Coturnix japonica: one gene and its partners. The protein of the gene in region 1 purifies or fractionates together with the protein of each later gene. This does not show direct contact. Links are inferred from orthologs where the notes say so. Each region holds a gene or a part of one and is shown on either strand. Other genes may lie near its edges. The genes, in order: KMT2C, NCOA6 and PAXIP1.

What was found.
Region 2: the proteins of KMT2C (region 1) and NCOA6 purify together in Homo sapiens (co-immunoprecipitation; 7 studies listed by BioGRID and IntAct, with this or other methods). This does not show direct contact. The link is inferred for Coturnix japonica from reciprocal best matches to the Homo sapiens genes KMT2C and NCOA6.
Region 3: the proteins of KMT2C (region 1) and PAXIP1 purify together in Homo sapiens (affinity purification with mass spectrometry; 4 studies listed by BioGRID and IntAct, with this or other methods). This does not show direct contact. The link is inferred for Coturnix japonica from reciprocal best matches to the Homo sapiens genes KMT2C and PAXIP1.

The regions. Positions count from the first base shown.
Region 1 is NC_029517.1:5,829,235-5,832,886, reverse strand, and holds part of KMT2C (histone-lysine N-methyltransferase 2C), read left to right. Parts: coding exon 1-598; intron 599-1,054; coding exon 1,055-1,267; intron 1,268-1,790; coding exon 1,791-1,955; intron 1,956-3,175; coding exon 3,176-3,317; intron 3,318-3,652. UniProt on the Homo sapiens protein: Histone methyltransferase that catalyzes methyl group transfer from S-adenosyl-L-methionine to the epsilon-amino group of 'Lys-4' of histone H3 (H3K4).
Region 2 is NC_029535.1:442,307-445,958, forward strand, and holds part of NCOA6 (nuclear receptor coactivator 6), read left to right. Parts: intron 1-1,035; coding exon 1,036-1,157; intron 1,158-1,882; coding exon 1,883-3,652. UniProt on the Homo sapiens protein: Nuclear receptor coactivator that directly binds nuclear receptors and stimulates the transcriptional activities in a hormone-dependent fashion. Coactivates expression in an agonist- and AF2-dependent manner.
Region 3 is NC_029517.1:6,828,403-6,832,054, forward strand, and holds part of PAXIP1 (PAX-interacting protein 1), read right to left. Parts: intron 3,345-3,652; coding exon 3,210-3,344; intron 1,556-3,209; coding exon 1,512-1,555; intron 1-1,511.

The DNA of each region.
Region 1 (3,652 bases):
AAAAGCCCCATCGACTCCCCATTCGGATATAACTGCACCGTCAACTCCAACCATTTCTGATTCTACCTCTACCCCCACCGTTAACACCCCTAGTGAACTGCCTCGTCATCAAGATGAGCAAGAGTCAGTGGAGGTAACAGGTCCATCAACATCTAATGCAGCAGAGAGCCAGGCTTCTCCAGAGCTGGAGTGTCAGCTCCCCAGCAGCAGCTTGCCACCAAAACAGCCAAATGTGAGCACAGAGACTGACAAGGCCAAACCAGACACACCTGCTGGCATTCAAGAAGTTAAACTAGAAAAGGCAGAATCCGATCAGTGCTCAGATCAGACTGAGCCGAAAACAGAAAATCAAAGCACTGTTAAGGTGGAAGAAGATAAAGTCTCATCTCAGCCTCCCTCTTCAGCTCAGAGTCCAGCACAGCCAGCCAGCGTTCCAGCAGCCAAAGGGGAGTCAGGGAACGAGTTGCTCAAGCACCTGCTTAAAAACAAAAAGTCCTCATCTCTTCTGAACCAGAAATCAGAGAGTGGCTGTCGAACAGAAGAAGAGGCTGCTGGAGAGAAGAAGCTAACGGACAAGCAGAGTCAGGCTGAAGGAATGGTGAGCCTCTCCCTGCTTTCGTTCTGCAGTGGTTACCAGCTCTCAAAGGCTGGTTTTTGTCTCTGCTTATTTTTAATTGAAGGAGGCATGAATTCTTCGTGTTAATGGCATTATATGGGTTAATAATTTATAAGACTTTTTAAAACAACTTGAAAAATTGCTTTCTATGGAGGTAGTATACACTTGAGACTTAGTATACTTCAATTATTTTATTATAGTCTCTAGTGTCTACACTGTTGTCCTATTAGTCTCCCAACTCTAAACACATCCTTGAAATCAGGTGTAAATACATTCAAAATAAATGAAAACTGATAAACGTAACTGTGAGCAGCAGGTAACTTAGGTAAATGTATGACAGGAGTAGCTGTGAGCATCCTTGTGTCAGGGCTTGTGCAGAATGGACTGTCTATTATAATATAGTCAAAAAATCTGCTTCATTTCCTTTTTTACGGCCAGCAAACTGCAGGAAACCAGCTGCAAGGTGCATTCAGGTGTAGTAACAGCCAACTTCAGAGAGCAGATGTGGGACACGAAACCAAGAAACAGAGAAATAAACGAACTCAGAGGACAGGAGAAAAGGCAGCTCCTCGGTCCAAGAAAAGGAAAAAAGAGGAGGAAGAAAAACAGGCCATATACCCCAATGCTGATACGTTCATCCATCTCAAACAAGTACGTACACAACACGACACTGGGTAGCTCATCAAGGGGATGCTTTAAAAGAATGGGTTTCTTATTGTGAAAACCAAATGGATAATGGTGTTGAATTCTGAGTACAGGGTGTAGCTGTAACTTCTATAGAAGCAGAAAGTGTAAAGGCTTGGATTTATTTCAGTTTGGAAGATCTACTGACGTGGCATGCGTTCAGCAGGCTCAAAACCATGGAATTCCTGCCTGCTTTGGTTGCTGCTGTTGCTGAGCTGCCACAGAGCTGGGAGCAGTGGCTCCCCTGGGCTGAGGACCGTCTGACCGGGGGGTTAGAACTAGATGGTCCTTAAAGTCATTTCCAACCTAAAGTGATCTATGAATCTTTGATGCCTGAAAAAGGAGAGGGGCCTGAGTTTGTGATGGTTGTCTGATAGTGGGTAAACTCCCTTTAAAAACAGCAGTAGAAACTACTAACAGCTGAGTGTCTGTGATTATTCAATTTTATAGTTAGACTAATTTCTACCTTTTTTCTTTACTTTCAATGTAGCAGCTTTCTCTCCTACCTTTGATGGAACCAATAATTGGAGTGAGCTTTGCACACTTTCTTCCCTATGGCAGTGGCCAGCTAAATGCTGGAAATCGACTTGTAGGAAGTTTTGGTAGCGCTACCCTTGATGGGGCTTCAGATTACTACTCCCAGCTCATATACAAGGTACAGCTTCAATCTGGATTTCCTCTGTGGGCTCCTTGAGAGAAAAGTTCATTACATCATTGCTGCGAGTTGGTTTAGATTTGTGCCCTTTGCAAGCAGAAGAGAACCATCTTCTGTTGTTAGATTAGATAGGCCGATCAGTGTTAAAGCAGACATTGTTTCACTGTTGTGAAAGTTGAAATCAGTTCTAGAAACTGTTGTAAATGGGTTAAAATGTGCAAGTGTTCCACTTACGAGTGGATGCTAAAGAATGAAAATTGTAATTACACTTTTATGGAGCAGAAAAGGCTGAATTCCCAGTACTTTGCAAAGTCATTGAAAACACTTAAGTATTTCTTAATGTGAATCAAATGGGAAATAGACTTTTCTCATTTGTCTGCTAAGCTTGAACTAAAAGCTCTGAGGAAAAAAAAAAGATGTTTGTTGATGAGCAAATAATCCACAGAATTTAAGACTCAGCCTCTGAGATCAGGATGGCAATGGTGGGACAGCAGCAAGAGAGCAGACAGGGAATCAAGTCTGGTACTTGGTGTTTATTCCAGCCTGAGAATGGATACTCTAGGCTGAGAATGGGACCTGGCAGATATTACCATAGCTGTGGATAATGCTTTCTAGCTTTGTATGCATGACTGCAATGAGAGAAGATACTGAAATTTATACTTAATTTTGGTTTAAAGTATGGTCAATTAAGTAAACTAATGAGAAACAGCGACGAGTGTGAACTTGCAGAGTGAGGTTCTCCATGGTAACTACTTCAGCAAAAGCTTGTCCTGTGCTAATGTGAGGCAGCTTCCCTTTTAGTGGAAAATGGGTAACTCCTTTATTGTGATGGAGAGCCCCTTTAGAACTGCTCTCTGTCTTTAGATCAGATCTTTGCTTAAACTGTAGGAACTTATTGAGGCTCCCAAAAAGTCCATAAAAATGTTCTTCGTGCCTTTATGTAAATAATTCAGCTTTACCTTCTCTATCAGGAAAATTTACTTCTCGCGTAAACTTTATTTCTCCTGTAGTATCTTTGATAGTAAGAAAATGTTGTGTCTCTTCTAGCAGGAAGTTATTCCACATATTTAGTTGCGTATTTGAGAACTGACTGTCACTGTTTATCAGTGGTACCTCTGGATGTTAAAATAAGGGAGTGGGTTACAATATCTACTAGTAGAACATGGCAAGTTTTCACACTGTGCTTCATAGCTAACTTGCTGTTCTTCTCTCTCCTGCAGCAGAACAATCTGAGCAATCCTCCAACACCACCGGCCTCTCTTCCACCCACACCACCTCCTGTGGCCTGCCAGAAGTTGGTAAATGGCTTTGCAACCACTGAAGAGCTTGCTGGCAAGGCTGGTATGTTGGGAGGCCACGATGGTAAGGCTAATGCATATTGTTTGCCTTATAGCTGGGTCAACTTTGTAGCAAACTACATAATGGATAACTGTGATGTTTCTTGGATCCTATAGTTCACTGTTATACAGGCATTATGTCCAGGCTCTTTTTAAGCTTGTAATCACTATCACCCAGTTTTGTTTTATACCAGCGTAATGTCAAGTGATAAGCTTATTCTTTCCCTTTTGAAAAGACGTTGGGATCTAGAAGCACTCCTAAGAAATGAATAAGTTCAGAATCCACTTTGTGATGTCCACTACAAATTTGTTGTCTTTTTTTGGTTTTGTTTTTTTTTTTTGTAAAGCGATGAGATAAAT
Region 2 (3,652 bases), on another chromosome or scaffold:
TGACCCATACTTGACCCTCCTCGATTGACTAGTGAAAATTCAGAGGCTTTTAAGCCACTCCCTGCTTTCTGAGCACTGAATGGTTAATAGGACGCTGGGACAGGCCTGGGTTTCTTGCTGCCAGCTGTCCATATACCAGAAGCTGGCTGTTACTGTCAAGTAAACCTTTATATAATTCAGATTCTTGTTTTGTTGAGAATTTCTTTTTCCTCGTCATTTCTATAGAACTCTGCCTCTCCTTGCAGGCAGTGGACTTGTTTTCATGTCTTTAGTTTAAATGGAGAGCTGTTATTACATATATCTCCATACAGCCTCAGTATATTCATGAAACCATTAAGCCGTTAAGGTCTTTTGCTCTTCATTCTTCTTCATCTTAACATCCTCTGACCACAGGTTAGCTGTGAAAGCATGCTTGTAAAAAGCTTACTGTTGTGATGCAGTGGAAGCATTAGCTGTTGAATTTTGGAAATTTTAACATGTCCCCCAGGGTCTCCTGGAGCAAGGTCTGCATCCCACAGAGCTGTGTGCTCTGGTGGATGGCTTTGAACGCCTGATGTGCCAATACGTTGGTGCTGTGACAGGGATAGAGATCTGATACCCTAAGCTGGGCTCCCCTGGGAGCATGGTGCTGTCTCTGAAGTTCGCTGGATATACACACGATACTTATGTGTACAGACAGCACAGCAGTATTTGAGAAAAGCCTATTTAGATCCACCAGGAGAGCTATTTGTATATAAATTTGAAATATCTGTTGGCATTCTCTTATAAAACTCAGATTCAAGAAGAAACAAAGGAAGGAAACAAACGCTTCAGGTGAGTAAAGCACCAGGCAACTTGTCTTTTCAGGAGTAGTATTTAAGGCCCAGAAGTGACTATCGGTAGTCCTGGGCTGTGTTTGCATCTGCTGTACATGAGGCAGCGATCTGTTTCCATGAGTTACTTGCGGGTCAGCCAGAAGTGCTACAATGGTTGTGGAAGTGGAATCCATACACTGATGTTGCGGCTGTATGTAAACAGCAATTATTTTTCTTTCAGCTCTTCAGAACCGCGTTCAGGCAGCCTGGAGGAGAGCGATCAGTCATCAGCATCTGGAGATCAAGGAATCAACTTAGACAATTCAGGCCCTAAACTTTCAGACTTTGGAAGCAGGCCGCCAGGTGAGTGTTAAATGTTGTCACTACAGTAAAGCTTTTACTGATCTTTGTGGCAGTACTTTTTTGCACGTTTATGACCAAGTTTTTTGGTTTTTTTTCTCCTTGTGAATAATTGATTCCTCTATTTGTGCTCTTTGAATTAGCTCTAAATGAATAGACAGTTGCATCCTCATGTATCACCCAACTGCAGGTATCATGTTGAATACTGTAGAATTACTTAGCAATGTTACATTTTATAGATGTCTGCACTTCTAGCAGTAGCACAGTCTGGTGTCTTGAAAACTGACCAGTAGTCAGTAGTTCTCAGGTTTTTCAGAACCCTTCCAGTTTTTGTCTATCAGTCTTTTAGGTTTGTTTTGAGGGTGATTAATCTGTGAAAGTTTAACTCTGAATTTGAAAGTGGCAGCAAGCCTGTGGAATGGTGTAGAGACTTTTTGAGGTGTTGTGAAGCCAGGGTAGTAGCTGGTTGCTGGTATGGCCTTCCATTCAGTGTCACACAGGTCATTTATAATTCTTAACAATACTTTAAGTGAAATCCTTTTTTTATAATATATATGATATATGTAATATATAAAAACCCTTGTTTATAAAGCCTGTTCAGTTAATGTGGCTGTTACAGAGGATAAACTGGCTATCCTACCTACCGCTTCTATCTGATGCCATTCATTACATAAATTCTGCTTTCTCTGATTTTTGTTCTTGATCAGAATGTCACTGTGTCCTCTTAGGTTATCCTTCTCAGCCGGTGGAACAAAGACCACTTCAGCAGATGCCACCTCAACTCATGCCACACACACAGCAGCCACAGCAGCTGCAACAGCAGCCACAGCTGCCATCACAGCAAGCTCAGGCACCACCACAAACACCGCAGCAACAGCAGCAGATGATGATGATGCTTATGATGCAGCAGGATTCCAAATCAGTCAGGCTTCCTGTACCACAAGGAGTTCATCCACCTCGAGGGCCTCTGAATCCAGATGCACAACGAATGCCCATGCAGCAGAGCGGTAACATGCCAGTAATGGTCAATCTACAAGGCCCTGGATCTGTGCCTCTGTCTCCTGATAAACAGAGGATTTCCTTGCCAGGCAATCCTTCTCTGGGAGGTAATGCAAGAAAAATGGTTTATCAAGATAATGTACAGAATCCTTCCAGCTCACCTCTGGGAGAGGTTTCATCCGTATCTTCCCTTCCAGAAGGAGGTGGAACGGAAGGCCCCACAGCATCAGGAGCTCAGAATAATTTGACATCTCATTTAGTAGTTTCACAGAACCAATTAATGATGACGGGAGCTAAACCTGGACCATCCCCGCTTTCAACCACCCCAGGCGCAAGTCCTCAGCAGCAATCTAATTCTCTGCCTGGATCTCTTGCACACCATTTTCCTAACGTTGCTACCCCATCACAAACATCAAGGCCTAAAACCCCAAACAGAGCAAGCCCAAGGCCATACTATCCTCAGACTCCTAATAACCGCCCACCTAGCACAGAACCCTCAGAAATAAGCCTGTCTCCAGAGAGACTCAATGCTTCTATAGCTGGTCTTTTCCCTCCCCAAATTAATATTCCTTTACCTCCCAGACCTAATCTCAGTAGAGGATTTGATCAGCAGGGTCTTAATCCTACTACTTTGAAGGCTATTGGACAAGCCCCATCAAATCTCACAATTAACAATCAGTCCAGTTTTGCTTCTCCACAGTCACACAAATTGGAAAGTGTTGTTGTTAATTCAGGAAAGCAAACCAATGCTGGAGGAACAAAGAGAGCAAGTCCAAGCAATAGTCGAAGGTCCAGTCCTGGATCCAGCAGGAAAACAACACCAAGTCCTGGTAGACAGAATTCAAAAGCAGCAAAATTATCGTTGACTACTCCACAGAATCCATCTCTCTTGCAGAATGTAGATATGCAGAGGAATATAATGGTTGGTCCTGCTTCCTTGCCAACACCTGTTACTACAAGTTTTCAGAATAATAACATGCTAAGTAATCAGAGTCCAGCAGTTTCTGCACCTGCTATGACTGGCCTTCCTGAAGACAATAAGGAGAGCCTCAGTGTTCCTCAAGATAATGAATGTCAAAGTGCACAAACTGTCCAGGGTAACAAAGACCAGCCCAGCATTGAACTGAAAGGTGTCCCAACTCCAGAAATAAAAATGCTGGTTCCAGGGGAGCAGTCAAAAAAGGATGGGCAGGCCTTAGACACGGGTAAGCTTCCAGCTTTGGAGGAAAGTAAAACCATGGTATCTCCGGCTATGAGGGAAGCACCAACTTCTTTAAGTCAACTTCTTGATAATTCTGGAGCTCCTAATGTAACCATTAAGCCCCCAGGACTGACTGGTCTTGAAATGGCACCAGTAGTCACCACTGTGGAAGAGATAAAAAAGGTAGCTGTCATTCCTCCACTGCAAGATGCATCCTCTAGCAAAGAGCCATCTAATTCACTTAGTTTGCCTCAAAGTAATGAACCCTGTTCAAATCCAGGACTTCAGGAACCGGGAG
Region 3 (3,652 bases), about 1.0 Mb from region 1:
CTAATAGTGCAGCTTCTCTATGAGAGAGAACACCAGCACTATAATGCCTGATTACGCAATCTTTAAAGTAAAACTAATTCCAACTTATTTCATACTTTCTTTCTTCCAGCCAGCCCTACATATTACATTGGTGTGACATAAACTCCCTTCCTGATAACAATAGGCTGAAAAACAAAATATTTCTGGTACAAAAATAACAAAACAAAACCCAACATATCAGCCTAGATCACATAACAGCAAGTGATTTATAGTTTGAATATAAAAGTATTTGGGGTTTTGCCATGTCATGTTTGGTGCATCGTTTACCTTTCGAAATGAAGTCATTAAAGGAAAACTCTCCCTAGGTCAGAAGATAGTCCAGGACTACAGCATATGTTTAATGATAACTCACGAATTCTATTTGACATGTTCATTATGATGATCAAAGCAGCATTAAGTACCTCAATATATCATTTCTTTAATTCTCTTTTCTTTCTACAGCTCACTCCCTGAGTTGAATTCTCCTGATTGAGAATACGCAAACATCTCAGACACACAGATAGATGCAAGGGCATCTGTTTTGAAATACGAGATATAACATTTGAATTCTGTATCACTGAATTCTGTATCACATTAAGACCTGAAATTCCTAATATGAACACCTGGACTCCGGCTTCTACCACCTCTTGTTTTCCATTATCAACACTACCACCTGCTATCCTTCCAAAATGAGATCTCATGCCTGACAGCCTTCCTCCCTAGTCCTGCTGTTCACCGCAATCATCTGCTGGTATCTGCACTGAAATGCGCTGCCCTGCTTCAGCTTTTGCATAAATATAATGCCTGTTATGAATGGGCTGTGAAAAAAAACATATTACAGGATGATATTCATGCATAAGCAGCCATTGCCGTCATTCCTAGGATCCAAAGAAAAACTGAGGGAAACAAATAATGAAACAGTAATAAATAATAAAACAGAATACACCATCCACGTGCAAGAATACGTGCTCCAAATGAGTTGAGAAAAATAAATCCAGCCCACATAAACCACAGCAGTCTGCAAATGACACAGTCAAGCTACACAATAACAGCAGTGTTACCATTATGAGTTAACAAAGCACTATTTCTAAGAGTATGGATGTACTGCATGTTTATTTCTTACTTAACTTTGGCTCTTGAAAAGGCCATAAAAATAGGCCATTCCACAGACCCAACAACTGGCCCCTTACGGCATTCCAGCATCTCTCCCAGATCCTCAGTTAATGACCAACATCAAGCTAAAACGTTTGAGCTATTTGATAACAAACTTCCTACAATTGATTATTAAGTGCTTATCCAAAATAGCCAAAGGGAGAGGGAAAGTAAAGCAAGACAAAGAAGCTCTAAACACACTACGATCTTAACAAGCAAAATATATCCTATTATTACAAAAATGTAAGACATACATACATGTAACAATCTTCATTCATGCAGTGCAATCTATTTTAAGATGTTTCCTATAATATTCCATCCAATTTTAACTTAAAGGATACGGAAGGAGAGCTCCACAGCGAACAGACAGGATCACCCAGGAAGGCTGAAAGACAAAAACCATGAGATAAAAAAACCAAACTCATACTGTGTGAGTAAAATGCAAGTTAGTGACCAACTTCACAGCGTATCTGGTTTCAATATCCATCTCTCAGCTTTAAAGTCTGAGTGTTTCACAGATCCTTACACAGAAAGGGGTTTATATACACATAGTAATACAGGCTGCTAAGCACACAGGTGACAGACCCTAACCATTGGTATGCAGCAACAGAATGGCTCAAAGAGAGAGAAGGAAATAGAGAATAGAGGCTGTGTAGGACAGTGGTCCTGATACAATCTATAGGGGAGAAGAAGGAAGGAGTACCATCCTATTTAACATGACTTTTTTACCTCCCCACACTTTCCTCTGCCCCAGTATACACACACACACACACACACAGTAACTTTTTATGCCTTATTCATGCTATTATCTCTCATTTAGCAAAAGGCAGAAGTTTTGTACTTTTTTAATTCCACTGTTTGCAAAAAAATAAATAAAAATTGGGAGTTTTCTCTTAATTTTTTTCCCTTCCTCATTCTCCATCCCTTTTCTACCTTTGCCTCCAAGCCTCATTCCCTTAACACTAAGTCTAATCTTCTCAACTACAGAACATGTTGCTTAGTTGGACCTAGAAGCATCGCAACATCACTGAAAGGCCTGCTGCAAACGGCAGAAAGTTTAGTCAGTAGTGCTTAAAAAGAACACTGAATTATTTAAGTGAAAGGCAGCCAATAGCAAGAAGCACTGCTAGGACAATGATCACAGAATGACTCGGGTTGGAAGGGACCTCAAGGATCATGTAGTTCCAACACCCCTGCCTGGCAGGGCCACCAAACATACACCTTTACTAGATCAGGTTGCCCAGGGCCCCGTCCAACCTGGTCTTGAACACCTCCAAGGACGGGGCATCCACAACCTCCCTGGGCAGCCTGTTCCAGGGCCTAACCACTCTCCTAGTGAAGAAAATGCCATTCCATCCCATAAGAATGGTTGCAGCCTTCTTGTATCTCAAGACTGAAATGATGTCACAAAACACTTCATGAATGAGATAAATTAAAAACAAGAACTAAGCTCCCATCTAGAACCATAAGGCCTCATGCTAAGCACCCTCAATTTTTTGAGTCTGTGAATTCATACTTCTCCACTGCCAGGTGAACTCTCATGCTTTAAGTCATCAAAACTAAGTACTGTTGCCTGCAGCCACATAGAAAGAATAAACCAAACTTATGCACCTGAAAGTACTGGCAGAGAAATAATAATGGGTTTTCTTTCCTCATTGCTCATGAATTGCAGAACAACAGACTCATATTTTTAAACATGAAGCCTGGAAGCTTTAGCAGGAAAAATGAACCCAAACTGCAAGAGAGTAACAAAGTTACTTAAAGAACGCAGCATCCCACAGATGAATGAGGAATTTCAGAAAGGGACACACACACACACAAAAGAAAACTCATTAACAGATCACCAGATACAGAATAACAGTAGGAAAGGAGAAAACAGAACTGTAAAAGTCTACAGTTCAGGGGGGAAACAAAGATCATGAAATGAGAATAAAAGAAATGCAAAGGTGTGTTTCATTCAGACACCATCTAAACACTGGTATTTTCTGTCACCATAACCCAGTAACTGTGTCAAACAATATAGTGGAGGAGTCACCCACCTTTACCACAGGGAGATCAAAAACTTCACGAGATTCTCCAACCTCTGGATGGTCTCCGTCTTCTGAAATAATATGTGAGGCCAGGGCATTGTAAGAGACTTCCTTTGCTTTCCCAGCTTTCAGAAGTTGAATAACCTAAACCCAAAAGAGAAGGGGGAAGAAGTGAAAAATTATTATTACCTTTCAATGGAAAAGAACAGTAAGAAAAGAACTGCAGCACATCAAGGGAATGAGTTCAACCTTCTCTCTTGGTTGCCCTGTATAAATGGATAGTACTCTGGTGTTGTTTTTTTGGCAAGCACAACCCATTTAAATCCTGATTTCCCAAGGTTTGCAACTCTGCTGCATTTTGATGATTCAAGTTGAAGTTTTACTTCCAGAATATTTCAGGCTGGGGCAAAAATTCTGAATGTTTCAATGTTTTTCCAAGACGTACAGTCCTC